4 linked regions of the Lytechinus pictus genome follow. The protein of the gene in region 2 purifies or fractionates together with the protein of the main gene of each other region. This does not show direct contact. Links are inferred from orthologs where the notes say so. Each region holds a gene or a part of one and is shown on either strand. Other genes may lie near its edges. The genes, in order: 2-oxoisovalerate dehydrogenase subunit beta, mitochondrial-like; protein phosphatase Mn(2+)-dependent 1K-like; lipoamide acyltransferase component of branched-chain alpha-keto acid dehydrogenase complex, mitochondrial-like; 2-oxoisovalerate dehydrogenase subunit alpha, mitochondrial-like.

What was found.
Region 1: the proteins of protein phosphatase Mn(2+)-dependent 1K-like (region 2) and 2-oxoisovalerate dehydrogenase subunit beta, mitochondrial-like purify together in Homo sapiens (affinity purification with mass spectrometry; 3 studies listed by BioGRID and IntAct, counting the BioPlex papers as one, with this or other methods). This does not show direct contact. The link is inferred for Lytechinus pictus from reciprocal best matches to the Homo sapiens genes PPM1K and BCKDHB.
Region 3: the proteins of protein phosphatase Mn(2+)-dependent 1K-like (region 2) and lipoamide acyltransferase component of branched-chain alpha-keto acid dehydrogenase complex, mitochondrial-like purify together in Homo sapiens (affinity purification with mass spectrometry; 4 studies listed by BioGRID and IntAct, counting the BioPlex papers as one, with this or other methods). This does not show direct contact. The link is inferred for Lytechinus pictus from reciprocal best matches to the Homo sapiens genes PPM1K and DBT.
Region 4: the proteins of protein phosphatase Mn(2+)-dependent 1K-like (region 2) and 2-oxoisovalerate dehydrogenase subunit alpha, mitochondrial-like purify together in Homo sapiens (affinity purification with mass spectrometry; 4 studies listed by BioGRID and IntAct, counting the BioPlex papers as one, with this or other methods). This does not show direct contact. The link is inferred for Lytechinus pictus from reciprocal best matches to the Homo sapiens genes PPM1K and BCKDHA.

Annotation. Positions count from the first base shown.
Region 1 is NC_087248.1:8,417,397-8,424,452, forward strand, and holds the start of 2-oxoisovalerate dehydrogenase subunit beta, mitochondrial-like, read left to right. Parts: upstream 1-4,046; 5' UTR 4,047-4,172; coding exon 4,173-4,320; intron 4,321-7,056. UniProt on the Homo sapiens protein: Together with BCKDHA forms the heterotetrameric E1 subunit of the mitochondrial branched-chain alpha-ketoacid dehydrogenase (BCKD) complex.
Region 2 is NC_087262.1:25,080,789-25,088,684, reverse strand, and holds the start of protein phosphatase Mn(2+)-dependent 1K-like, read right to left. Parts: upstream 3,023-7,896; 5' UTR 2,828-3,022; intron 1,987-2,827; exon of another isoform or gene 1,958-1,986; 5' UTR 1,929-1,957; coding exon 1,385-1,928; intron 978-1,384; coding exon 779-977; intron 264-778; coding exon 146-263; intron 1-145. UniProt on the Homo sapiens protein: Serine/threonine-protein phosphatase component of macronutrients metabolism.
Region 3 is NC_087255.1:5,971,250-5,979,007, reverse strand, and holds the start of lipoamide acyltransferase component of branched-chain alpha-keto acid dehydrogenase complex, mitochondrial-like, read left to right. Parts: upstream 1-4,739; 5' UTR 4,740-4,841; coding exon 4,842-4,913; intron 4,914-7,758. UniProt on the Homo sapiens protein: The branched-chain alpha-keto dehydrogenase complex catalyzes the overall conversion of alpha-keto acids to acyl-CoA and CO(2).
Region 4 is NC_087251.1:40,230,984-40,238,585, forward strand, and holds the start of 2-oxoisovalerate dehydrogenase subunit alpha, mitochondrial-like, read right to left. Parts: upstream 3,011-7,602; 5' UTR 2,908-3,010; coding exon 2,794-2,907; intron 1-2,793. UniProt on the Homo sapiens protein: Together with BCKDHB forms the heterotetrameric E1 subunit of the mitochondrial branched-chain alpha-ketoacid dehydrogenase (BCKD) complex.

The sequences.
Region 1 (7,056 bases), on a different chromosome or scaffold from region 2:
TGCTCTTAAATAACTCAACATATGTTCCATATACTAGTTAAATGTGATATTTTGAACACAGTTATTTTCCAGAGATATCTTGATAAATACTCGTGCTGAATCTTTTTACAGGGTATCTTACTTGTAGTTAATGTATAAAAATCATATTTTAGTACTTTTGTTCTATCTAAAGCAACAAGAATGATCCTTTCAAAAGAATAATTAATTTGTTGGGTGATAAAGTAATAAGATATTCATTTTTCTCCAACAATACCACATGGATAACACAGCAACTGCTGTGTGAAGAATGTTCCTTTTATGTTGTTTTTATAACTAGATGCAAGAAAGGGTTATAGTGTCCAATATTTTCATGTTTCTTTTCCATCAAAGTTTGTTTAAAGGAAAGTAGTTTTGTCACCTTATGTGATAGTTCCTATGTTCCTATTTAAGTATCTCAATTTAAAAACATGTGCTAAGTTAAAGAGTGCATCATAAGAGTCTGTTTATATAAAAACTTATCGTTAAGCCAGTTTTCTTTGTACTTTGTTTCCAAGCAACAGGGTTTATGCTGAATATAAAACTTTGCAAAATAAAATGTACTTACTTACCGAAGAAGGTAGTAGCAGAATGTACAGAAATATGCTTACATATCTTGGCAGCTATTTCTAAGATATTTTACCTTGCTTAAGCTTTCTGCTTTCTTTCAATACTATTGTACAAAAAAATGAACAAAATTTGCTGCGTGTAGACCAATGAACATTTTTAAATGCTTCTCTATTAATCACAAATACAATTTTGCAGTGATGAACACCTTGAAATTTGGTTTTATATGAATCTTACCTTGCCTTCCAATGTTATATGAAATGTGTGTTTTTTATACATGTACTTACATGTAGAAATATTTCCTTGATATTGCAGGACCAAACATACTTTATTTGACAAATTTATTGATAGACATTGCCGAACAAGGGCAATGTATTAGTGATTTGTCATGTTTTTGTAAGTCATGAGCACATTGTCTATTTGTTAAAAGATTACCATAATGGCTATGTATGTTAAGTTGATAATAAGCAGTAAAAATTGTTGCTGTTTCAAGAATTGTCATAAGAGTGCTAGAACAAGAGAGATAATACTGCAGCATTTCGTTTTGTGGCCGTTTTAGAGAGTTAAAAGTATGCAATTCAATTTTTTTATACCATGTTTGTACAATATTTAATGAATATTATATTAAGATGATAGACTTGAAACAGAAAAATCTAGTTCAAAATAATATAAATAATAAACATTGATATTTGCTTGTAGGGTCACATCATGAAAATGAGGATGAGATATTAATGTTGTTTACAACAATAACAAACATCATTTAGTATTGCGCTGACTAAAATGTATCTGATAAGCTGTTTTCTAGCTCCTAATTGTAAAGATTGATATCAATACATGCATTCATTTTGTAGACTTTTTCACACAAATTATTTTTTTTAACATGTTAAATATGCAGTTTTTGTTTTAATTTGCCTCAGGATAATAGATGAATTTAATCATGTTTATGTTTAAATACCATTTACTTGAATATGAAGCTCAATAATACATATATCATGCTTATGATCAATTTGAAGTTGAGTAAACAATGCCAACAAATATTCTGTGCTGCTGTTCTGATTTTGAGGTAAATTGAACAATTACATGCATATTCATGTTTTGAGATATCTTCCAAGATATCTTGTTATCAAAAGCAAGTATTTATTAAAATTGTATTAATCATTTTATGCTATAAGTAATCAACTATTTATATCCTTGTATGATTTTAATGATATTAATGTCATAACCGTATTAAGATGTAGGAATAGATAGCTATTTTATATGCCAGAAATTATTATGGATTTTCCACATCAAATCTATACAATATTTTTGTATTTACACTAGGTCTTTTTTATTTCAAGTATCCCCAATGGTTGCTTTATTTAATAACATGGGAGCTTATACAGTATATGTAACTGTTCTTAAGAATCGAATATTAATTACTCTGGCAACTGTGTTAGAGTGTACATGAACATACATGAAGATGAATTATAGAGCACATGTAGGATATCTTTGTTGACAGAAAACTATACTATTAATATGCAATATTGAAATGACTGCTTAGCTTTGTTTTCAATCATGAGGATAATGTAAACATTATTATTGAAGGAAGTGAATCATTGTAATTTTCAAATTTACTTGATTTCTTTTTTTTTATTTGCAATAAGCGAATCACATTTTGGGAAATTGATGTGTAATCACTTTTGTTGTGATCAAAATGCTGCACGGAATTGAGTAATTATGTAAATAAAACAATACACGCTTTCTTTTATCTATCTAATTTTAAAAATCTTAGTCTTTCAAATACGACAGTTACTTTAACTTTTTAAGTATATGAATTTAATAATCATTTATTGGGGTATCAAAGCAAAAATTGAAACATTGAAAACTAGTACGTTGTTTTGTAATTAATGTTAATGGGCATCACAATTTGTATTATGAAAATGTTTGTGTTGATTTTTCTAAGATAGATTTTGTATTTTGTTTGCCATGTTGTGAATTTGTCATTCATGTTCTACATGGAATGTTTTCTGTTAACTTCTAGGTTCTGTACTGAGGATGGATAAAAGAAAGAGAGTAATTCTTCAATCTTATAAGTGTTTATATGATTCACAATGGGTGATTTCAAGTTCAGTGTTGGTGTTGGTGTTGGATGCACATTTTGGATTGTGTTTCCTAGTTCCAAAACCTATTCTGAGTTAAAACAAATATTCCAGATCACAATATTGACAGCTCAACACATAGTGAGTGACTTTTCAAGACCATCTTCATTTTATGTTTGGTGTTACACTCATGTAAAAATTGACTTAATACCAACACCAAGAGGTCAACACTGAACTTGAAATCACCCAATGATAAACCAAGTCAAAATAGTCTTGTTTTTTATGGCTGAATATAGTACAGGGTGTTTGTATAAAAAGGGTTTTCTTAAAAAAGATATAACTTCTATCTGCCCTAGTAATAGATGAAGTCAGAGAATTAATTCTCAAAACTTAGCACTCATTGCTTAGGAATTGGCATTAATGATTTGAGTAATTGTGTCACATATCTAGGCTATGCTGTATGTTGAGCTTCATGAATAAAGTGAATGAACCATGTTTTTTAATTTTAAATCACTATAATTGTGTAAACTGACACTAAGGGATGCACAGATATTGCAATAAAAGATATATTTTCTTGCATTGTAAAATGGATTCTTCCTCCAATCGATCATGTGTTAAATTGTTAAAATGCCGCTTGTATTACACATGTCTGTACATGAATAAATTACTTTTACAATGAAACATAATGGTACATAAGGCATGCTTTTAATTTACTGTTTCTTTTAAAATATACTTTGTTTCTTATTTTGCTCCTTTTGAAACTGGATATTTTTTACATCTTGATAGTTTTACAGCACGGCTGGTGCTTCAGGGGGCGGGAGGTGACCATCCTTGCATGATTTTCCAAGTGGTGAAAGAGAAAAAGAAAAAAAGAGGAGAAATTTGATCATATAAAAGAGATACATCTGAGTTGTATAACTGTACAGTACACCCCTTCTAATTAACCTGGCCCTATCAAAATTCCCCTCCCCCTGATTGAAAGGGATCCTTTTAAACTTGGAAATTGTTATTCAATCATCTGTTAGTTTCCCTGACAACTTTAGGCAACATACCATGCATCACTTTAAGCAATTCAGCAACTTTTTAAACTTTGTTCAAATTTGGGAGAAATGGTACTTTAATTCTTCCTGTCGCTCTTATTTCTTACTTATATTTCCCATTCTTTCTTCCTCATTTTCCCTCTCTGTTTTTCACACATTCTGGCTCTTTCCATCACTAATGCTTTTCCAGGGGCGGGGGCAAGACACCTTGATTTACAGTTTTTTTAGATTAGAAAGGCCGGGTATTAGTTACACACCATGACCTTTCTCTTTTTATTTTCGTTACACATTTTTCTTCTTTTTTTCGCTTGAAAAATCATGAGCATGCAGTCAGAGAGAATACCGAGTCGAGAACATCCAGAACGACTAGACGAGTCGAGTGGCTGTATGTATCTGGGCGAACTCGAAATACACCACAGAGCGAGCGCGTTTTACAGAATTGGGCCGACGTGTGTAGAACTAGAGGTTTACGATGGCGCTACTCAGGCAAATTTTCGGAAGGGTGACTTCCAAGTCATTGCAGGAATTGTCTGCCAAGAAAACACCTGTAATAACGAATGGATCGAGAAGGTTGGCTTCTGCATTTACATTTGTCCCTGATGCAGCCTCTCCATCGGATGGTAAGGAAATTGTCTGGAACTGGAACAGTCTCGATCTATAATTTGCCAAACTTGTCATTGTTTTCAATAAGTGGGACCGGGATGAACGTCACGTCACGGTAGGCCTACACGGGCTACAGCTCCCGGGCCGCTCTGGTGCTGGACGTTGGACCGGGCCGATGATGTGATCGCGAAGCTAAATAGATCGGCGCTAATGCAGTTTCGCACCGGCTGACATCTAGCAAATTTTTCCATCAGTACTATACTGCCTTGTGGAAAAATTTGCTCGATGTCCGCAAACGTCATGGCGTTAATGCAGCTTCACACCGGCCGACCAATCCTGGCGATGACGATGTTAAACTAAGTCTTTTTACCTCAAAATATTACTATTACTAGACTAGTAGTATTAGTAGGGATGCCACCCCAAAAAATTGAAATGGTGTAGCCTAGGCCTAAATTTAGTTTTAAATAGTTTAACTGGAATAAGCTTTGAAGCACGAGTAAAATGACACCAAGATCATGAAAATTGGACCACGGGTTGCCGAGATACGGCAAATTCAAATTTTGAAAAAGCCGATTTCCTGCCAGAAAGTCGCCAAAATGGAAAAATTGTATTTTTTGCCATTTTTAAAGCTACCTATTTTAAAACTTGATGAAGTATAGAGGTTGCTTTTTCTTGGGGCACCTAACATGTAAACCACCAACAAGTACCTGAAAAATTGGGTCCAAACTACTTTTCGTTTTCATATTAACGGAGTTCAAAAAATGGGGAAAACACAAATTTTCGCCTATGGCACCAGAGGAAATTGGCAAAAATGACTAAGTCCATCTAATTAGTATGCGAAAATGGCTTAATTTGAAAGTGGATGGGCAAGTAATCACCAAATTTCACAGAGGTGCAGAGTTCTTAAGTTTACTTCATATCTGTTTTTCTTGTGAGCATAAATATAATACTATGCAAATTAGGTAATAAATGAATATTAATTTATACATAACGAATGGGAAAATTGCCTAACTAAAGTTATAACTGATTTGAATGGCAAAAGCCAATGCTTAATACAAAATATTATTTATTAAGAGGTCCTTAAGACTAGGAAATTTAATATTAATCTCATATTGATGTAACTTCCAATCCATACTAAAAACTCTTTTATAATTATATCACTCATTATTGAATACTTTGAACCTTAAAAAAAATTCAATAACATTTCACACTACTAGGGTTTAAATACAATAAATGGATCGGCAGATTAACGTAAGTGCGCACGCGCAGTAGAAAAATCATTGAGCCGGGGTACATGGTATCATTTATAACATACAATGCAATGTACTTCACACATACCCCGGCCTCGCCCTTGCCGTTAGCCTTGGAAGTTAGAACGTTAACTACTTTTCCTCAAATAAAATAAAATCGATAAATTAACTCAAGAAAACACAGCTCAACACTCGTAATTGTCGTATACAAAATAAAACGTTCAGCATACTTCGCAAAATACCACTGAACACAGCCACAAACTCAATACAATACATGCACCCCACGCATTCACAAGCTCCCTATCACAGAACAAAATCATCCAATGACATGGGCAAAATCTCGAACAAAAGTGAAATTTTCTTATCTAAATGACCACATCTCGCACTAAAAATGTCACAATCGCATTTCCTTAACATCATAATTAAGAAATACGGGGTCTAAAAAAGTGGATTTTTCGGACGATTTCGCGATGTTAATGGATTTTGGAAACATGTCGTCACAAAAAATTGACACTTACGCGAGCCAATGCGGGTCGCTATTTTTTCCCGGAAGTCATTCATATAACACACGGGCTCATAGGAGAGAATGTGCAGACTCGGTTACTGAGAAAGTGAAATTGGCATACCTGGTTATATTATCTCAAATATCTGAGTGATTAAGTTATCAGATCATCATTAAAATGGCTAGATATGAAGTGTAAGAAATCAGGATTGTGCAATTACAAGCGAAATTGACAAAAGTTCCTTTAGACATTCAGAAATCTTAATTCTAATCAACTTACCAACGATAGACGTTGTTCTGGTCTTCCAATACTCAAATTTCCCGCCCTGCGGATATTTTCGTTGTCAAGGAAGTTAACTCAGAATGTTCCTCTTTGACATGGGGGTTAAAAAAATGAAATTGGGCAATAAGATCACTTCTCTAATAGAGTTTCAAAATACTCTTCACATCCCGATCCCCCCCCCCCCCCCCCCCCCCCCCCCGCTTAAGATCAAATTCTTCGGTCCATAAATTTTGATCAATGGGAATCAGCTGATCATTATGCTAGGATTTCATCGAAGTCGTAGTTGAGTTATGTGTCAGCAATGGGTATGAAAATATAAGAACTTGAAAGAGTTTTTCGTCAGGTTAATGTGAGTACTATTGTTTTTGTTGTTATATGTATACTTTTTTTGCATTGTTGGAATAAATTTAATCATTCCTGCCAAGAATTTGTGAAGATAACCATCGGCATTGGCAGGAATTTCTCGGCGCGCGAGTGGCATCCCTAATATTAGTATCTGCCCGCAGCAGCACTCACACGTATTGCGAGGTTAGTATTAGTATACTAACCTCGCTCCATGAACCGCGTTTGGCAGTTGATTTCTAAGTAGTGGGTCGCGCGTGCTGGGATCCCACTTCTGGTTTCCACAACATACGACTTCTATGGCTTGATTTTTCTGTGCGTGGCGGCATGTAATGAACCCTTGGGTGCGCAGCAGCTCACCCAGGCCATGCTTTTG
Region 2 (7,896 bases):
ATTGTGAATGGGCTAAATGACCATTAGACCAAATGGTTATATGAACAGGTTGTAGATGGAGATTAGACAATGTGAGACGATACCAAATGGAAAGTACCGTAAATAGAGTGTGTGTTGACCAATCAGAAATTCACCAAATACTTACCTCTAATGATCTTGTTTCTGGTGTTGCAATGACTCCATATCTCTTGAGGGTGATGTCACCAAAGCTCCTAGTCATGGTCAATATACCATTAACAAGGGGCTTCCCAAGACTGTTCCAGCTGTATAACAAACAATCAAAGTATAGTGAAAGGTAATATTACTAATTGAGTACATCAAAGATTAGCATTGCATGATTTTTACCACCCAAAAAATTGAAATAGGAATAAGTGTTTGTAAAGCTGGAAGGAGAATCATGCTGTAATTGATTTATTGTTCTCCAGATTTTCTTGTTTTCACAAAGCCTAAAACTCCACATCATTATTCAATTTGAGAAATTGACATCCAGAATTCTGTGACTTATTTCAACTCATAACTACACTATTTCACTTTCTTTTGTGCGGACAAAACATTTCTGGTGTTGCATAGATGGAAGATGCACTACTTTTAAAAAGATACACATTGGCTTTTTTTAGAACCGTTTCAGGGTTAATCTTGTTCTTCATATTCATAAAAGATATATGGCAGTAATATAAGATGCTTTATAAGAGGCTTCAGAAAATGCTTTCCGATGTGATCAGTAATAAGCCATAATGGTATTGGTGTATAAGAAAAGGGTATTTGTCTAGAATCTTACGTGATATATCCATCAGACGCTTTGATCCTTTCTTTTTCTTTAGTATTGTACTCTGGATCATGGTCATTAGTCAATCTTAACGCCTTCCCATTACGACAGAGAATGGCACGACTATCACCCAGATTGCCCAAGACAAGCTCATTTCCATTCCGTAGAAGTGACACAGTAGCCGTTGAACCTGTATGCTCATGCTCAGGTTCTGTATTGTATTGGAATGAAGAAAAGTTTGGATACTTAATGCATTACCAGTCCACAACAAAGTGTTCCAAGAGGCCAAAAATGGATGAAAGCTTCATATTTTTTCTTCAATGTTGAATGCCTTATTATTAAAGTATAATCTAAAAGAACTCAGTCTCAACAGTCTTGCCCGATAGATATTGTACCAGAAATTCAAATCCAATAAGGTCACAACACTTACAAATAATTATTTCAGGAAACAAAGGCTAAGCCTTTAAAATGGAATTTACATCTCAGTCAGCGCATATAAAAAAATATAACCAGAGTGATAAGAGTCAAACTATACTATGATCTCTCTACCTGTTTCCTCCTTTTGTTATTACCCTTCAAAGTATTTCTTACAATATAAACCTAGGCTACTTTGTGTACCTGGGTAATGAATGTAGAGGTAGCGTGTCAGCTTATTGTTCAGATCCTCAAAGGCTTTCTTCAAGACAATCTGTAAATCATACTCTCTTTCCAACCAAAAGTTGAGATGAAACTCTAGATTATGATGCACATAGTCCACTGCCATGGATCCAGCATGTCCATCAAAGATACCAACATAAAGAAGGTTTGGACGGAGTTCCTTGATGCATATCCGATCCTCGTTCTCTGCCCTGCGACCGATGAGGGATTCCTTTCCGATGCGCCCAACAGATATTTTTGGTATGGGGATACCATGTTTGATGCTTTGCTGTAAAAGGATGGGCTCTTCGATCCTGCTGTCCCAGATTCCAAAGTTATCCCAGTTGACCCCACGACTGGATGAACTGTATCTTGCAGATGCCGCATTTACAGAGCGACTCAATCTGTGACTGCATCTAATCTCTGACCGAGTCATGTTTCGTATGTTGTTTTGAAGCACTTTTGGTATCGTGCTATAGTCCAATAACAAGAGTTTCCTGAACATGGTAAAGTTCCTTTTTAGCATGATGACATCACCATGATGGTTGGACACAACTGAAATGAGACATGAAAAAACCCTGTGCCTGTGTGAATAAAAGATATGGGAAGTGGTGAAGGCAGGTACCAACATTTAGATCCATGTTAGATTAGTTAAATCAGTGGGCAGAGTGTCCCATGACAAAGCTTTAAAATGAGAAGAAAATAGGGTAAAGCAATAAATCATGCATTATTTCAATCATAAAGAAAGACAATAGTTATATGCTACCATATGAGTGTGCTAAAATTGAAAACAAAATAGCCGATCAATGCCAAAGCGAACGCGACATAGACGTCTAACTTTTACTTTTTTTGAGGGTCCAGTTTGTGCCTCGATGTCAGGATTCTGTGTCACAATAGACCTTCATCCATATAATCGAGGTAAGTGCATAATTTCTGTTTCCACATTTTATTAAGATTACTTTGAGATCCCTATCTACCCCAGTCCCGTGTCTTCCTCGTTTTGCACGGTTGACTCCTGGGCTCCCTGGGTTAGCCAATAGCTAACCTCGCATGCATGTGTGCATGTGTGAGTGGTTGTGTACAAAACATGAAATGGTGAAGGGGTGAAGGAATATACGATTTTTACATTAAAAAAAAATATTTCAATTTTTTTTTTTAATTAGAGATGAATATATTTAAGAGGTTTCTGGGTAATAAAAGGTGGAATTATGCCCATGCGCTGCCCTTGACTTGAGCCCTCTCCAAAGTCCACCTTCTCATTTTCCCTATACTTTTATACACAGCGTGCCGATGTGGGATGGTTTACTTACTCAACGCTAGTGGGCGTCCTTCCCCATGAGCATTTATCGAGCGTTTCAAAAAATCGCCAAAGTGTCCAATCTTCACCTTACTCCTTAGTATCTTTGACCATAAAGTAATACTAACCTCGGGCTCGGCCTCGCAGTCACACTAGTACTGATGATGTTGTAGTGACTAGTGACGGGTGTCAAGTGATTACGTTGATCTGAATTAGCATGATTAGTCTCTCCCTGAATTATACACCTTTGCTACACTTTTTTGCCTTTTCCTGAAATAAGTCACCTCTCTTCTCGTGTGTGTGCGCTCGTTGTGTACAATACTACAAAGACAAAATCAACGGGAGATGAAAGAAGTCACCGCCGCCACTTGTTCACTGCAACCACCCTGCCTGTGGGGAATCTACAGGTTGGACTATGGCATGTTATAAAATAGCTGTATTATTTCAAGCATCGCGATTGGTCAATACGCGTCACATGACATCCAACTTTTTTTGTGCACTGCACGGTAGTGCAAAAGGTGTGCAACGAAAATTGACATTGCACGCTCGAGCAAACCAGTGCGGTAGAAGCCCAACAAAACTGTACTGTAACTTTAAAAAAAATTGTTTCTGTGTTGCTATTTTATAAAACAAATAATGCACTTGCTCTGTCGTGCGTAAAGGTAAATGCAGAGAAAGCTCGGTTTCTTCAGATGGAGCACACTGGGCACTCGCCGCAAGCGGCTCGTGCACAGTGCGACTCCTATCTAAAGAAACCTCGCGTGCTCTGCATTTCCACTAACGCACTCGGCTGCATGCATTATTTGTATACCAATGCTGTACAGAGCACACACTTTAAAAAATGATCACTTTTGTGACCAAAATTACTAATTTCCATACATTTGCAATTAATTTTTCATTAGTAAATTGGGAATAATTTTTGTATTCACTAGAGCGCTCAAAAACTTGAATTTTGGGCATATTTTTGTGTACGCCCTCTTTTGGTGGAAAATAATATGGCAAGAAAATTTTCATTTTTTTAACTCTATTTTTAATTAAGAAAAAAATAATTTAAAGAGAAATTCCAGTAGTTGCAGTAAACACTGATTTCATGAGAAAGTCTGTAAAACCAGGCTTAATTGTCAGTATATCATCGAGGATCTAGATCTGGTACAGTTACATAAACTGAACTTTGTGAAATCTTGAAATCTACGCTGAAAAATGTTCAGACTGAACTTCCCCAACACAGATAAGCGCACGTGGGACAGTGTATAATTTTTGCCTTGAGCGTCGGGCCCGACGCTCTACCCGAATCCTGTGCTTATTTGCTGATTTCTCAGCAATTACACAATTTCTTCCAGAATCCTTTGGCACATGCGTTTTATTTATACAAACAGACACTTTGGTGGTCATTTCATTGGATTCTGTACGAACTCATTTTGATATCGTTACCAAAACTAGCATTTACCTTTAAAGAATCAAATTTACTTAAAGGCCAAGTTGTATGACGAATAGGTGTAATGGAAACTGTCAGTGTAAAAAAATCAAGCATTTGTCCCAAAGAAAAAGAGAAAATAAGCCAAACATTGCCATCCTTACTTTGCCACACATGGAGATTAACTGAGATAAGTGAGATTGAGAACAACTACAAGGTTATATCATAACCTTGTTCATTGAATGAGTGACCGCCGCTGACGAAATGAACGGCAGTGAATGGAGTGGTGACTTAAACAAGGATAATGCCCACTTTTCATTTAAAAATTGCTGTCCTGGCTAAAATGTAGCTCCAGTTCAGTCTCAATCTCACTAATCACCAACATGACCAGTCGCAGTCGCGATCCCCACCGACAGATCAAGGGCAGGCTCCATCGCCTATGTCAAGTGAGCCAACAATAAGCCAGCCAACAGCAAGCCAGCCAACAGTTCCAGCCAACAATATCGCGATATAAGATAGATCAGATACAGGATTTTGCGCAAGAAGAGAAGCGTGCATTCTTGTAGAAATCAAACAAACGGGGTCAGGGCTACACGGGCCTAATCACTAGTGGCAGGCCATAGATATTCATTCGAGCCAACCCATTGCCATTTTTTTTAATTTTGATATGGCTGATTGACAAAGTGTATGCATATGATTTTCCATCTAACACTGATTCTATTTTTGGTAATTACTGAACTTCCTTTTCCCAAATTGGGAAGAAATATCACCAATTTTGGACTGTATTTTGACTGGCGGAAGGATTAGGGCTATTTTGCTGTTTGAGGTGATGAATCTGCTCCCCCCGACGCTGTCTTCAAACACGCCAATTTATTTTTAAAATGAGCCAGTCGAAGGACCCTTTTCTGGTCAGATATGGATTGCCAGATATATATCCTATCCACTGGTAGTAAACATTCGACCCCCGAATTTCATCCTTATTTTTTATGAATTTTTTAAAGTGCCAATTTAACACACGAGTCTATGGGGAATGAATTAGGCCTGTGAGACCTCAGGTGGGGTTTCCCTTCTTTCAATTTGTACAGAAAAACAACGGGCTAGTGCTTTAGTTTTAGTAGCCCACACCCCTATATACTCGATGTTTTTTCGTATATTGAGGAGTAAATTTCAACCAAAAGTCCTCTTTATAAAATACAATTGGAAGATTGCTCCTGAAATATATTTTGGGTGTGTGTAGGGGGGTTTCCCTTCTTTCAATTTGTAAAGAAAAACAACGGGCTAGTGCTTTAGTTTTAGTAGCCCACACCCCTATATACTCGATGTTTTTTCGTATATTGAGGAGTAAATTTCAACCAAAAGTCCTCTTTATAAAATACAATTGGAAGATTGCTCCTGAAATATATTTTGGGTGTGTGTAGGGGGGTTTCCCTTCTTTCAATTTGTACAGAAAAACAACGGGCTAGTGCTTTAGTTTTAGTAGCCCACACCCCTATATACTCGATGTTTTTTCGTATATTGAGGAGTAAATTTCAACCAAAAGTCCTCTTTATAAAATACAATTGGAAGATTGCTCCTGAAATATATTTTGGGTGTGTGTAGGGGGGTTTCCCTTCTTTCAATTTGTAAAGAAAAACAACGGGCTAGTGCTTTAGTTTTAGTAGCCCACACCCCTATATACTCGATGTTTTTTCGTATATTGAGGAGTAAATTTCAACCAAAAGTCCTCTTTATAAAATACAATTGGAAGATTGCTCCTGAAATATATTTTGGGTGTGTGTAGGGGGGTTTCCCTTCTTTCAATTTGTACAGAAAAACAACGGGCTAGTGCTTTAGTTTTAGTAGCCCACACCCCTATATACTCGATGTTTTTTCGTATATTGAGGAGTAAATTTCAACCAAAAGTCCTCTTTATAAAATACAATTGGAAGATTGCTCCTGAAATATATTTTGGGTGTGTGTAGGGGGGTTTCCCTTCTTTCAATTTGTAAAGAAAAACAACGGGCTAGTGCTTTAGTTTTAGTAGCCCACACCCCTATATACTCGATGTTTTTTCGTATATTGAGGAGTAAATTTCAACCAAAAGTCCTCTTTATAAAATACAATTGGAAGATTGCTCCTGAAATATATTTTGGGTGTGTGTAGGGGGGTTTCCCTTCTTTCAATTTGTACAGAAAAACAACGGGCTAGTGCTTTAGTTTTAGTAGCCCACACCCCTATATACTCGATGTTTTTTCGTATATTGAAGAGTAAATTTCAACCAAAAGTCCTCTTTATAAAATACAATTGGAAGATTGCTCCTGAAATATATTTTGGGTGTGTGTAGGGGGGTTTCCCTTCTTTCAATTTGTAAAGAAAAACAACGGGCTAGTGCTTTAGTTTTAGTAGCCCACACCCCTATATACTCGATGTTTTTTCGTATATTGAGGAGTAAATTTCAACCAAAAGTCCTCTTTATAAAATACAATTGGAAGATTGCTCCTGAAATATATTTTGGGTGTGTGTAGGGGGGTTTCCCTTCTTTCAATTTGTACAGAAAAACAACGGGCTAGTGCTTTAGTTTTAGTAGCCCACACCCCTATATACTCTATGTTTTTTCGTATATTGAGGAGTAAATTTCAACCAAAAGTCCTCTTTATAAAATACAATTGGAAGATTGCTCCTGAAATATATTTTGGGTGTGTGTAGGGGGGTTTCCCTTCTTTCAATTTGTAAAGAAAAACAACGGGCTAGTGCTTTAGTTTTAGTAGCCCACACCCCTATATACTCGATGTTTTTTCGTATATTGAGGAGTAAATTTCAACCAAAAGTCCTCTTTATAAAATACAATTGGAAGATTGCTCCTGAAATATATTTTGGGTGTGTGTAGGGGGGTTTCCCTTCTTTCAATTTGTACAGAAAAACAACGGGCTAGTGCTTTAGTTTTAGTAGCCCACACCCCTATATACTCGATGTTTTTTCGTATATTGAGGAGTAAATTTCAACCAAAAGTCCTCTTTATAAAATACAATTGGAAGATTGCTCCTGAAATATATTTTGGGTGTGTGTAGGGGGGTTTCCCTTCTTTCAATTTGTACAGAAAAACAACGGGCTAGTGCTTTAGTTTTAGTAGCCCACACCCCTATATACTCGATGTTTTTTCGTATATTGAGGAGTAAATTTCAACCAAAAGTCCTCTTTATAAAATACAATTGGAAGATTGCTCCTGAAATATATTTTGGGTGTGTGTAGGGGGGTTTCCCTTCTTTCAATTTGTACAGAAAAACAACGGGCTAGTGCTTTAGTTTTAGTAGCCCACACCCCTATATACTCGATGTTTTTTCGTATATTGAGGAGTAAATTTCAACCAAAAGTCCTCTTTATAAAATACAATTGGAAGATTGCTCCTGAAATATATTTTGGGTGTGTGTAGGGGGGTTTCCCTTCTTTCAATTTGTAAAGAAAAACAACGGGCTAGTGCTTTAGTTTTAGTAGCCCACACCCCTATATACTCGATGTTTTTTCGTATATTGAGGAGTAAATTTCAACCAAAAGTCCTCTTTATAAAATACAATTGGAAGATTGCTCCTGAAATATATTTTGGGTGTGTGTAGGGGGGTTTCCCTTCTTTCAATTTGTACAGAAAAACAACGGGCTAGTGCTTTAGTTTTAGTAGCCCACACCCCTATATACTCGATGTTTTTTCGTATATTGAGGAGTAAATTTCAACCAAAAGTCCTCTTTATAAAATACAATTGGAAGATTGCTCCTGAAATATATTTTGGGTGTGTGTAGGGGGGTTTCCCT
Region 3 (7,758 bases), on a different chromosome or scaffold from region 2:
GACACGGCGTAGGCCTCACATAAGATTCATAAAGGTTGCCAGTGAGTGAACAAAAATTTTAACATTTTTTTATCACTGAAAATCAAATTTTGTGATAAATTTGATATAATGTAAAAAAAAATAATACTGAGTGTCACATTTTACCCTTCTCTCTTTCCTTTTTATTAATTGTCTCTTTTTTTTTTCTTGGTCATGAAAAATTGCGGGGGGGGGGGGGCTCTTGCCCAACCCCCCCCCCCCATGTACGCCCGATAGGCACAGTGAATTTTTATTGACCGGGGGAGGGGGTGGGCAGCAAAAATGGAAATGGAACGGGGCAGGAAAGAGTTCTTATTGTTAGAGCAGCTTCAATGTAAAGTGCGAACTCTGAAGTACATGTATACAATATTAAAAAAAAAAAAACCATTAAAAACTTCTGATACAGTACCGAATCTCATGCTGGATAGGCCTGCATGCATGGCAAAGTGCGCAGAAAGGACGCATGATAATTGTTTTCATGCGGCCAGCCAAGCATGCTCTTCTTATTTCATTAAATTTTAAGAGAATGAGAGATTTTTAAGAATTAGGTCTATTGATTTTTGTTTTCTTTTTACTCAATTCATATATAAAAATAGACCCAAATTCCTTCTTATAATTTCCCGGCACCCCCCTGTTAATGTTACGTACCTGCCTTTTTTAGAGGTGGATATAACAATCTTATTCTCCTGTGTAATATTTAAATGACAAAGTCGCATCAAATGGGGTCGATAAAATCCATCTCTATGCAAAGTCACAAACTATTAATACTGATATGAAACCAAAACTCAGAGTAGTGTCGATTTTTTTTAACAAGCTGGTGCACATCTAGTTACCAAGAAAGCGTATAGCGTTTTAATTTCTTTGAATGCAGGAAAATTAAGAGCACCGTCGAACCGTCGATTAAAATAATGAATGCCTTGCTCACGGGCATAGGTGCCACGGCCGGGGATAGAACCCCGGTCTTAATAATGTTAAGAAAATAAAATTAAAGAATATCTTTCACAAGACGCAAATGATAATGTTACACGGTTGATTTAGCCTGTGGCAATAACCATGTTTTTTTTTCTCTTCTCTGCCAGATATTATTACTTATTTTAGTTTGATTAAAGTTTTTTTTCTATTCTTTCTTTTTATTATCTCTCTTCCTTTTATTCTCCTTTTCGTGCTGTTATTGTTGTTGCTGTTTTTCTTCTCCTTATTCCTTTTCTTCCTCCTTCTCCTCCTTCTTGAAATTCTTCTTCCCCTCCTCCTCTTTCTTCTTCAATCTATTCCTCCAGTCCCTTTTCTTCTTCTTCTTTTCTTCTTCTTGTTTTTCTTCTTCTTCCTTTTCTCCTTCTTCTTCTTCTTATTTTCTTATTCTTTGTGTACACTCTTAAAACAAATCAGTCAAATTGACTAGACCAGTATAGTCAGCTGGGTGCAACTGATATGGCAATCACTGATAGGCACATTTCTGACATGTATTCTAGTCAGAAATAACTCTGTTCCAGTAAAATACGACTAGAAAATAATCAAATATGACTAGATTGACAGCTGCACCCAGCTGACCCTATATTAACTAGTCATTTTTGACTGATTTGTTTTTCAAGTGTATATATCATCTCTATATCTTATTTATTGCTAATAGTAAATCCTGATTTTTCTTCGTTTTCTTTAATGTGTAAATGGTACAATTTCTATACATGTCGAAGGCCCCACGGAAAATAAGCTTTAGTGGGTCATCCTGTGCAAGCCTGTTGTTTTTAATACTAATATATTGTTTATATCATTATGTTATGGTGGCTAGCCAAATAAAATCAAAATCAATCAATCAAGCAAGCAATCAATCAATCGATAAAATCCACCTCTATATGCAAAGTCACGAACCATTAATACTGATAGTTTTGAAACCAAAACTCAGAGTAGTGTCGATTTTTTTTAACAAGCTGGTGCACACCTAGTTACCAAGAAAGCGTATATAGCGTTTTAATTTCTTTGAATGCAGGACAATTAAGAGCACCGTCGAATAAATGAATGCCTTGCTCACGGGCATAGGTGCAGCGGCCGGGGATCGAACCCCGGTCTTCATAATGTTAAGAAAAAAAATTAAAGAATATCTTTCACAAGACGCAAATGATAATATTACACGGTTAATTTAGCCTGTGGCAATACTAACCATGGTTTTTTTTTCTCTTCTCTGCCAGATATTATTACTTATTTTAGTTTGATTAAAGTTTTTTTTCTATTCTTTCTTTTTCTTTTCTCTCTTCCTTTTATTCTCCTCTTCGTGCTGTTATTGTTGTTGCTGTTTTTCTTCTCCTTATTCCTTTTCTTCCTCCTTCTCCTCCTTCTTGAAATTCTTCTTCCCCTCCTCCTCTTTCTTCTTCAATCTATTCCTCCAGTCCCTTTTCTTCTTCTTCTTTTCTTCTTGTTCTTTTTCTTCTTCTTGTTTTTCTTCTTCTTCCTTTTCTCCTTCTTCTTCTTCTTATTTTCTTATTCTTTGTGTACACTCTTAAAACAAATCAGTCAAATTGACTAGACCAGTATAGTCAGCTGGGTGCAACTGATATGGCAATCACTGATAGGCACATTTCTGACATGTATTCTAGTCAGAAATAACTCTGTTCCAGTAAAATACGACTAGAAAATAATCAAATATGACTAGATTGACAGCTGCACCCAGCTGACCCTATATTAACTAGTCATTTTTGACTGATTTGTTTTTCAAGTGTATATATCATCTCTATAACTTATTTATTGCTAATAGTAAATCCTGACTTTTCTTTGTTTTCTTTGTGTAAATGGTACAATTTCTATACAGTCATGTCAAAGACCCCACGGAAAATAAGCTTTAGTGGGTCATCCTGAGCAAGCAGTGGCGAAGCTAGGATTTTTTTCCTGGGGGGGGGGGCACTGGGGGGGGGGCACCATTTTTTCCGTTGTGTGTGTATGTGTCACAAGGGCGGATCCGACTTTCGCCAATAGGGGACGGGGCCCGAAATTATCTTCACCTATATTTCCCCCGATCAGTCACTTCTTAGTTTTATTCTTATAAAACAACATAAACATGAAATAATCTCATAAGCCTTATAAAAAGTGCGAGCGCAAAGCGCGAGCGATTTTTTTTTTTTTTTACTTTCATGTATTTTGTCCTGAAAATATTCTGGGCAATGTTATGTGTGATCCTTAACAAGATTCGTATGTAACTAGATGGTTACTGCGAACTCCAAGCGCGAGCAGAAATTTTTATTAACTGTTCTAGCATTATCGAAAAGGGACCTGTTAAGGACTGCTTACAGTTACCCACAAAGACGGTATATATTTTAATAATGCGAGCGCGAAACGCGAGCAAATTTTTTTGACATTCCGACCTAAAAAATTGTCATCTTTTTCTAAGCACTTTTTGTATTAATAAATGGGATAGGTATGTAACTTAACAATTGATGCGAGCGCGAAGCGCGAGAGGAAGAAAATTGAGATTTTAGACCTAAAAGCGGGACACTCTATTTATATTTTGTAAATCATAGATAGGATATAGTTAATTATTGGGTATCATTAATAATGCGATCGTGAAGCGTGAGCAGACAATTATTGATATTCTGATGTGAAACTGGGAAACTGGATAATTTAAGTACATTTAATATAATACATTTGTTTAATGGAACATTATGGAATACACGTAGACAATAGGAACTTGGCAAATCAAACAATTTGACCAAGCAGCGTGAGCTTAAAAATGCTGATATGTAGACTATAAAAGGGACATTTTACAGCTAGAGCGCTTAAATTTGTTAATGAAAAAAAATTGATGAAAGCTCGATGTCTGAGCTAAAATATATTTTGTATATTGACTTCAAAACTTGCTCCATATCAGCCTATTGAGCAAGATATGAATCTCATCAAACAGGCAGTTCTGGCGCGAAGCGCAAGCAAAAGTATTATATAGTAACATGAAAGATTTGGGTTTTTTGCAAGTCTTCCTCCTCTTATTTTCCTCTTCTTTTTTTTCTTCTGTCTTTCTTCTTCTTTTCCTTTTTTCTTTTCTCCTTTCTCCCTTTTTCTTTCTTTTTGCTCTGCCATTTTTTTTTCAGGGGGGCACCTGGGGGGGGGGGCACACCAAATCTCAGGGGGGGGCACGTGCCCCCCCCCCCCCCCGTAGCTACGCCACTGTGTGCAAGCCTGTTGTTTTTAATACTATTGTTTATTATGTTATGGTGGCTTGCCAAATAAAATCAAAATCAATCAATCGATAAAATCCACCTCTATGTAAAGTCGCGAACTATTAATACTGATAGTTTTGAAACCAAAACTCAGAGTCTGTAGTGTAGATTTTTTCTAACAAGCTAGTGCACACCTATAGTTACCAAGGTAACTACGTTACCTACCTAACGTAGAACGTTCTTGCTCACGGGCATAGGTGCCGCGGCCAGGGATCGAACCAAATAAAATCAAAATCAATCAATCAACCAACCAACCCACCCACCCACCCACCCACCCATCCATTTTTTTTTTTTTTTTTTTAACAAGTGCACACCAAGTTACCAATAATGCATATAGCATTTCCATTTATTTGAAAGCAGGATAAAAGAGCATTGTACATTAAATACTTTGCTCACGGGGATAGGTGCCGCGGCCGGGGATCGAACCCCAGATTTTCTATGTATAGCCAGGCGCCTTAGACCACTCGGCAACGGCACCTCCATCCATCCACCCATCCATCCACCCACCGTGAAACCAATGTCAAGCGAACCCCTGAGCTGATTGTCCACTCGGCCAGCGCGCGCCACGCACGGAACTCTGCCAAAAAAAAATTGAAGAGCGCCATCAACGTTAGAAACAACAAAATGGCGAGCTACTTGAGATTTTTGCAGCCCAAGAATTTGTTATTCTACAGCCGTCTTTCGTCAGGTCTGCAAGTAAGTATCGTTAGAATAGTAGATGATATTACTGGGTGTCTTTAAATTTAGACATAAACTTGATTGTAGGATGCCTTTTGAGAATATTCCCAATCTAATACCCCTTTCATACTGCGCTTTTCCCCGGCGAACTTCGCTCAACATTAACCATGTTATTGTTAACCCAGGGAGCTCCCAGGGGCAGGGCTAGCTCAGCCTTACCTCGGGCGATGTTCGTGCAGGCTCCACTCCACTTCACTACCGCTACACTCCACCTACCCGAACATCGGGACAGTGAACTAGATCGGATATTCCGAGTCATAAAAGGTGGGATGGCAATCATGGTTATCGTAAAAATTAAAGAAAAAAAATATAGGGATTATACTTATAGTAGGGATAGCACACAAAAATTAAAACTAGCTAATATCCATTCAAAATCCATTCTGTCTTATAGAGCTTTGTGAGAGCTTTATTTTGATACCAACTTCATGTAAATTGACCAATGTTTGGTAAAGTTATGGTCGATTTAAGTTATCGGAAAAAGGGTAAAAACCTGCCGGAAATCATCAAAATCGCCCTAAAAAGGCAAAAAATGCGTTTTTGGGCAAATTCAAGTATCTGTCACATGAAAAATATGATTATATAGTGTCTAAAAACAATTAAACATAGCTATAGCACTTGTGTTCTACACAGTCTGCAAAAACGGGATCACATGAGTAAGTTACTGCTGAATTATAGTCGTCAGAGTGGGACCTATTAATTCAAAATCACCCATCCGCAACCACAGAAAAACCTTCAAAATATGCAAATGAGAGCTAATTAATATGCGTAAATGCAATATCTCCAGTTATATTAGGTTTCACGCAATGAAACTTGGCAAGATGTTTTCTTGCACTAAGACCTTTAATTTTCACCACTTTTGTACAATCTTATTTGACAAATATGCAAATTAGCTCATTTATTATGCAAATTAGCTAATTTATGCATAATTATTAATACATAATTCATCAAAGATTCATCGGCAACAATCAAACCATCCTACAAATTGTCTCTTTCATATGGGTTATACAAGGTTGATAAACTTTATGATTTCACAACACTTATCTTTTACCTATACAGTGCTGAAAATGAGTTTAAGAACAGCACTGGACAGATAACCTTAATGAAAGAGGATATTATTATTAACATGCCAAAGACAGCACATATCTGTTCTTGGCAGTTCTGAAATTGAATGATCAGTTGCTGCACAAGTCAATCCAGGCTGGTATTTGAGTTTTCTTTCAAGTATCACAATAATATTACAGATGCTGTTTCATTAGATATTTTAATATATTCCCAATTTTAGCATAATAAATTGAATTTTTAATAACATTGATGTTTAATACATTTCTATGAATTCTGACTTCAAACAATTTAACAAAAAATAACTGTAATCTTCATCCCATTTCAAGTAGGTCATGACAAGGACAATGAGCAACAGCCAAGGGAATCAAATCGAGAAAGGGGAAACTGCAGCCAGACACAAATGAGCGGACAACCTGATGAGAAGGGATAAGAGGGCATTCAAGGCATAGTAAAAGCCATTGGACAGTCTGCATAAGATATTCTACCTCATTCATTGAACTTGAGTTTTTTTTTAGCACAACAATAATATAACAGATGCTGTTTCATTAGAATTTTCCAAAATCTGCCTGGTAGATTTTTGATTGCAGGTTTGTATAAAGTGTAAGAGTAAAAAATTAATTGGTGGACTGGTACAAAATTTTGAAAGACATTCATATTATATGTACCACAAACTAGTGTCTCAATATTCACAGCAATGGTATAAAGAAATTCTGAGAATGAGAAATAATTATTAGCTTATAATAATTTTTAAAGCCCATTTGAAAGTATAATTTGTTTCTTTTGTAATTATGTCTCTTTGAGGCCCCCACCCCCTCCCCCTCCCCCCTAAAAAAAAATTAATTAATAAAGGAAAAGAATTGGTTATGGGCACAATTGAGACAAAATAATTCAGTAAATATGACCAAACAATTAATTAAAAGTGACAAATTTGACTTTCAAGTCTAATTTCTTGAATTGCCTGACATCACACAACTATTGATTTGAAAAACGTACGAGGAAAATGAAAACAGTCGTTCCAGAGGGAGGGAGAGAGGCAATGGAATATCCATACCTTAAACTGCGCATGCGCAGAAAAGAAAAATTCGGTCGGCGAATGTGGCCGGTCGACTGGAGAAATGGCTGTGCAATTTTGCGCGCACTCCCTCTGCACAATCACGGCAAAATTGTTCATTAGATATTTGAAAAAGATCGACATTTTTCACATTTCATGTCACAATCACAACCATTTCACATCATTTCATAATAAAAATCCAATCAATCGGGTATTAAGAATACGTAATCGGCACAAATCTACTCACCAGGACATTTCCGTTCGTGTACAAGAGAGTGAATTTCATCGGCAGTCCATCCGGTGAGTTGGAGTATTCGTGTATGTTCTGCGCTGAAGTCAGCGGATGCCATGATTGAAGTCAAGCGCGTAGTATGTGAACCAAAATTTGGTTTGCTCAATTCAAAGCCATTTCCTTGCTAGTTACACTCATTTTCAGGACAAAATAATATCATCCCTAAAAAATGTAACTCCTAACCTTTACAACAAGTACTTCACTCTTCGGAAATACACTTGAATACCGGAGATATGAAGAATCCAAGCCACACGGTAAAATCGCCTGCGGTGTGACCATAAATTGGTTTCCACGGAAGCAGAATACAGGGTCATGATCGGAAAGGTCACGATATCCTTATATGGAAATTTCATGCACATATTTAGAGTGTAACATGTGAGGATCGTTGATTTTTCTGA
Region 4 (7,602 bases), on a different chromosome or scaffold from region 2:
AGAGTGTCGCTATGGCCAGCACATAATACGCCTGCCTTGTAAAGCAGAAAATGGAGTTATTGATCAAGCAAGAAAAGTGGAAGGTGGTGACTTCACCTTTGACTTTCTGACCTCGAAATCAATAGAATTGCTGGGATCTATGCTGGTATCATACACACCAAATTATATGAGCCTAGGTTAAGTTCAACTAAAGTTATCGTGTTAACACTTGAGACTTCAGAAGGGTAAGATGAAAATGTGTCACTGTGATCTTGACCTTTTGACCTTAAAATCAAAAGGCTTCCTGGGATCCATTCTAGTATCATACACACCAAATTATATGAGTCTAGGTTAAGTTAAACTGAAGTTATGTTTACAAGAACTGCAGAAAGGTAAGATGAAAACATGTCACTGTGACCTTGACCTTTTGACCTCAAAATCAATAGGCTTCCTGGGACCATGCTAGTATCATACACCCCAAATTATGTGAGCCTAGGTTAAGTCAAACTAAAGTTAACATGTTTACAAGGAAAAGTTAACAGACGGACGGACACCGAGTGTGATACCATAATACGTCCTGTCTAGGACGGGCGTATAAAAATTGGTATAATGACAATCATAAATCTGATATAATTATATTTCCACCTCATTATATCAGAAGCATACTCGGTCAAAAAAAAGGTTTTGGAGCGTCCGCCATGTATAAACTAGTAATATCAATTTATCGGTGATAAGTTTTTTTTAGGTGGAAATATAATTATAGTGTAATGTATAAAATCGTTATAATTTTTTTGTTAATGTTAGTTGAGTCACGCTGGTTCTTGGGAGTGTCCCGGCGTCATATGAAGGTATAAAATTTTGATTCATATAGGTTCTGGAGTAGGCCTACATGCCTGGGCAAATAAATTTTTAATTGAATAAAAATGCTTTCAAGAAATTATACATGTAGATCACTTGCTCATAAACAAATCAGTCAAAACAAAGTTAAACAGCTTCACAACAAGTTTCACTGTTTTACATACAATTGGCCATTATTATTATTATCATTACTAGGCCAGTATCACTTATCATGAACCATGTTATCACATTTATTTTTTTTCAGAGTTGATTTTCATCTTGTCCATCATGACCTAATTTCAATGTGAATATACTCTTTAATTAATTCTTCTTATCATATTATATCATAATCATATTTTTTTATGGGGGGGGGGGGTTGCGGCACACAATAAAATGGTGGAATTACTGAAAAGAAAACAGAAATACTAGTAAATGATTAAAAGGAAGGAAAGAAGGAAAGAAAAAGAAAGAAAGAAAGAAAGAAAGAGGAAAAAGAACAATAAGAAGAGGATATTTTAATTCAGTAAAAAAATTATTCCAAGGCCAGATTGAATTTAGCAGAATACAAATGGTTGACAAATAAAAATTTTACATAGATTCAATAACAGTAATTCATATGACCAAACATGAACTTAAAGAGTTAACACTCATTAAAACATCTCAAGGAAGGATACTTATACAAAAGAAAAAAGAAAGATAATCCCCATCCAGTGGCTCCTATGATGAATACATCTCTGAAATAATAAGTGATGCACTTAATTACATTGTATTTATTTCATATCTTTCAACCATTATATTATTCTATATATAACATATATCTAATACAGCAAAATAAAAAGAAAACAAAATGAAGGAAAGAACACAGAAAAATAAGAGAGGGAGAGAAAGAAAGGATACAAAAAGTAAATAATTTTTGAGAAAATTGAAAAAAAGGACAAATAAATGGAAAGAAAAACAAAAAAAGAAGGAAAGTGAGGTTTTTTTTTTTCCTAATTGTATTGTATTCATTTAAAAATATCTTTCAATCATAATATAATTCTACATATAACCTAAATATTTAAATAAAACATAATGAAAAGATAAAATGAAGGAAGGAAAGAAAGAAAAAAAATAATAGAGGAAGATAGAGAAAGAAAGAGGGAAGGAATCAAAAAGTAAAGAATTTTTGAAGAAGATTGAAAAGGACAAATAAATGGAAAGACAAAAAAAAAATAGGAAAGCTAAGAAAATTCCAGAAAATCACCCTTTTCTGGAAATTTGAATCAGCTGTATAATCTTGGCAGCAACTGGTCAGATTTGGACCATCTTGGTGTCATTTTAAATCATCTTCAAAGGCCTTTTCACTGGCCATCTTGAACATCTGAATTAGATCATTTGAATTTTATACGGCATTATCCTGGTTTAACTTTAAGTCATTAGGGCCTACTCCATTTACTGCCGTTTATTTCGTCAGCAGCAGTGACTTTTCAGCTCTCCCATTGACTTTGTACACAACGAGCGCACACACACACACCGACAACCACAAGAAGAGAGGTGACTTATTTCAGGATAAGGCCTAATTTTCAGGTTGACATCCCTACTTTTGATGATGAATGATGCAACAATTATTTTCTATACTTTTTCCCCACTTTTTATGATTTTTTTGCCTGTGTCGCTGGCGTTTTGCGCGTGGCACATGAAGAGCTTGTGGAATTTACGTGTGTCGCATGCGATGCATGTTTTCTACATTGGCGAGAACGTTGCCGCGAGGTATGGACACACGCAAAGTCTGGACTCGACTCACTGGCATACTGACTGTTGCATTACCGTCATGACCGTCAAAAAGGCCAATGCACTGACATAAATATGAATAGATGGGGCCTGACTTAACTTAAGACTGACTGGATAACTGCTTTTTTAATTTTAACGATAAATTGTACTTCAAATTCAAGTAAGGCGTTAGGAAGCACTTTCAGTATGTAATCATATTTTGCTTACCGAATAATATATACTTCTAATTTGCTTCGAAGCTAATTGCTGAGCAGGAACTTTCACCTGTTTCTGATAAAAACGTAGGAATCGACATGATCTTTGGAATAGTGACGCCATCATTACTACTAAAGACTAGACAAGTGCTATCGCTAGCTAGTAGTCGATGGCATGGTGCGAGTGCTCGCGCTCGACGATCACGTCGTATTACCGGTGGGTGAAATACTATCAGGGAACACTTCCCTGATACTATGAACCAACTAGCCATTGTTTCCTTATAAAATATGAATATGCATGATTATAAAAGAAATTTTCACCTTCTTTTTTTTTGCACATCATATACATTTTTGTGATGGTTCTTAGTTCAAATGACCCGTTTTTCGCATATTTTTTTTTTCTTCAAGTAAGTACCGGTATATAGTAAGAACTGCAACTTATTTACGAATTCATTTTAAAAACAAATTATTCTAAATCGTTATCCCGATATTTTTCTCATAATAAGTGTTCATCTTGGGTTGAGGCTGCATGCAGAGTGATACAGAGTCATGTTAAAGCATAGAGATATCTTACTAATTTGTATATATCTCTCTCTATGTGAAGGTAGACAACTTTCACCAGTTTCTGATAAAAAGTATGTTCTTTGGAATAGTGCATGCCCAGGCCCAGCTAACACATAACGTAATAACATTTTTTAAAGATCTTAGAAATGCTTTAAAAACATTAGAACATTTGCATAACATTAATGAAACATTATTCCCTTTATGTTCATCATTGAATAAACGTTATCCAGCATATAGGCCCTAATTAATATTTTCACACAACCCGCCAAAACCTCCTCAGCAATTACTTTCCCAGCTCTAACAACCCTTAGGAAGTGTCTACGTTCTTCTACTGTTACTAGCGATCTCCGACCTTAACGGACGAAGGATACAAGAGAGATGGCCTGACAAGAAAACATTTAAAAGACATTTTTTATTAAAAAAAATCAGAACATCTTATCAAAATGTCAAATCTTGACGTTAAAATGACATGAAAGAAACATTCTTAAGAATATTTTTATATAATGTTAAATAACATTTTTAAAACGTTCTTATGATGCTATGGCAATAAAATCTAAAAAGTCATGAAAATATGTTTTCGAAATATTTCAACAAAACATTTTTGACAAAATGTTTGTTTGATATTCTCTAAAAAATGATCAAAATATGTATTAGAAACATAATAATTTTGACGTTTTCGTGATATCATTTTAACATTTTTGAGAAACAAAATAGCATTTTACTAACATCTTCATAATGTTTTACAGTGGATGTGAAAATGTAATTCCAAAAACGCTGTTAAAATAGTTTGACATTAACATCAAACGTTCTTGAAAGGTTATGAAACTATGTTAATATAATATTTTAAATAAGCGTTTTTGAAAAATGTTTTCCTAATATTTTTCTAAAACGTTTCTGAAATATATTTTAGACTTATTTCCCAATGTTTTTTAAATATGGTTTTCATATTTTTTCAGAAACTTAATAATATTTTACTAACATTTTTGGTGAAAAATTCACATTTTAAAAGTATTGTTAGAGTATTAAGACAATGACATCAACCTTTGTAGAAACGTATTGATATGTGTTTTTATAATAGTTCAACAAAACATTAAAATAATAATAATTGCCAAAAATATTTCAAAGTATATTTGAAACATCCTTTTTTTTTAGTGTTTTTAAAATACAATTTTAACTTTTGTTAACTTTACTATCATCTTTATAAAGTTATACACGGGATCTAAAAATATTTTTAAATGTTGTTATAATAACATCGTTCTTATAATGTTATACATTATGTAACAAACATTACAAATATGTTGTTAGAATACTATGACAATAGCATAAAACATTCCCTAAATTACATGATAATATGTTTCTCAAATATTTTAACAAACATTTTTTTTTGAAATTATGTTTTTAAAATGTTATAAAAAAATGTATCAGAAACATACATATTTTGACTTTTTTTAAATATCATTTAAACATTTTTCTAGAAACAACCATTTACTAACAACTTTATAATGTTATGCATTGCTATGCATTGGGTGTGAAAATAACATCAAACGTTCTCGAAAAATTATGAAAATATGTCATTGAAAAAATAACTAAACATTTTTGAAAAAAAAAATAGTTTTGTAATATTTTCCCTAAGTGTTAATGAAATATAAAACAAACATCCTTATTTTGATGTTTTCAGAAACAAAATAATTCACTAACATTACGATAAGTACATTAGATATAAAAAAAAATCCCACGTTAAAACATTGCTAAAACGTAATAATAATAGCATTTAAGGTTGTATAAGTTGTGAAAATATGTTCTCAAAATATTTATGCTAAATAATATTGGAAAAATTGTTTTCCTAAAACGTTAAAAAAAAATTATTTCTAAACACCTTCTTTAAAAGTTTTGATAATATCATAATAATGATTTTTCACAAACAAAATATTTTAAAAATGTTATCGGAGTATTACATGAATAACGTTAAACGTTCTAGAAAGGTCACGAGAAAGTATTTAAAAGATATCATGTTGAACACCATTTTATTATTTTTTTTTTAATGTTTTTCAAAACCCTATATACATGTAGATAAGAGTTCATGTTAAACAAAACCATTTTTCACATTTTCATGATTTTTTTTCAGAAATCAAAGAATAATCTTAATAACACATTTTCAATTTTAAAAATTTGCTTTCAATGTTATCAAAATGTAATGACGTCAACATGAAACGTTCTATAAAAGTTACCACAAAATATATATATTTATTTTCCAATTAAGCCTTTTATTTTAACATTTGTTTAGCGTTTTCAAAAATGTTAATAGAATTTATTGGGATGTTTATTGTTTTAATGTTTTCATAACATCATATTGACATTTTCAAGATAATCTTTATTTCACTTTGAAAATATTGATTACATGATGAAAACAAAATGTTTTGAAAAATATTATTACAATATGATTAAAATGATATCAAACGTTCTAGAAAGGTCATGATGAAATGTTTTGACAATATTATAAGGACATTTTGATGGATAAAAAAATGTTGGAAATTATGTCGAGGAAAACCATCTTTAATGTTTTTATGACATCTAGATAACGTTCTTAAACAAGACCCAACCTGCAAAATCTGGTTGCAATATAGTTTCATAGTGGTTAAGGCACCGGCGCGCTGCGGCGTTCAAAGCTGGGGACATGGGTTCGATTCCAGTAGAGGCACATTTTTCGGGATCACCAATTTTTCCAAAGGGCAGATAGCCAGTTCAGTGGCGTAACAGGCGGGGGGGGGGGCACCTTGCCCCCCCCCCCCTGGCGAATTTCACCGGGAAAAAAAACGGGAAAAGGAGAAAAGGGAGGGAGAAAGAAAGGGAAAGGGGAAGGGAAAGGGAAAAGGAAAGGAGGAAAGGGAAAATGAAAAGAAAACGAAAAAAAAATATATAGTTTTTAAATGGAAAAGGAAGGAAAGCGGGAAAAAAGAACGAAAGAAGAACATTTCAGAAAGAACTAATCATTCCGATATAGGCATATCATAGGCGGATCCAGCTTTTGGCGAAAGGGGGGGGGGGCGCACTGCCGAGCGGCGCACATATTTTTGCACTTCGCCGGCGCCATAAAAGAAAATGTTGAAAAAGGGGTAAAGTCTGACCCTGTCAAATGCTCTTTTTAAAATGTAGGATTTCCAATCATGCCATTTTGCATGACCACACGCAGATAATATTTCCGGGGGGGGGGGCAAGACTCGAAAATTTGGTGCACATCTCACATTTGCAAATTTTTCATAGTTTTCATGAAATGTTAAGGGAAAAAAAATGTTTTTCACAACAGCAGATCGCGAAAGTGCCCCCCCCCCCTTCCCCCTTGCTGCGTACGACCATTCCCTGAAGTCCACTTAAACATATCTCATTATAACAGAAATATACATCAATTTAAACATATAATAATTCTAAAACATATATAGAGAGAGATCGAAAAACTTATTAAAGAAAGAAACAAGCAAAAAGTAACACAAATTATGCATGTTATGTGCGATTTCAAAATCTCGTGTATTAATCCTTTTATTGCGATGAGGCCAATACTTTTGTATCTTAATAGAGGTACAAGTTTTTTTTACTATATGTATATATATATATATATACACAGGGGCGTCGATTCTTTTTTTAAGATTTGGGGGGCAAAATCATGAATCAACTTTCCAAAGGCGCTCGATATCACACAAAACAAACAAACTCACACAAACACACACACAATATGCATATATATATATATATATATTTATATGACTCATGAGATAGAAACACATATCTCACCAACAGTGGCGTAACAGGCGGGGGGGGCAGGGGGGCAAGTTGCCCCCCTGGCGGATTTCACCGGGAAAATAAAAGAAAAACGGGAAAAAGAAAAAAAAGGGGGAAGAAAGAAAGGGAAAGGGGAAGGAAAGGGGAAAGGAAAGGAGGAAAAGGGAAAAGTGAAGAAAAAAACGAAGAAAAAACATTTTTTTTAATGGAAAAGGAAGGAAAGCGGGAAAATGTACGAAAGAAGAACATTTGAGAAAGAACAAATCATTCCGAAATAGGCCTATGTAATGCAATAGCAAGGTGGGAAATAAATTAAAAGATGGCAAAATGGCAAACAATAGCGGGAAACGAAGGTAGAATGTAATTAGTCAAAAGCTAAATTGGAACAAAAGAAAAAGGGACAAGAAAAAATGTTAACACGGCCGGGCTGCCGATGATTGAAATTATAGAGCGGGAAGAAAGATGGACTGCATACAACATTGTG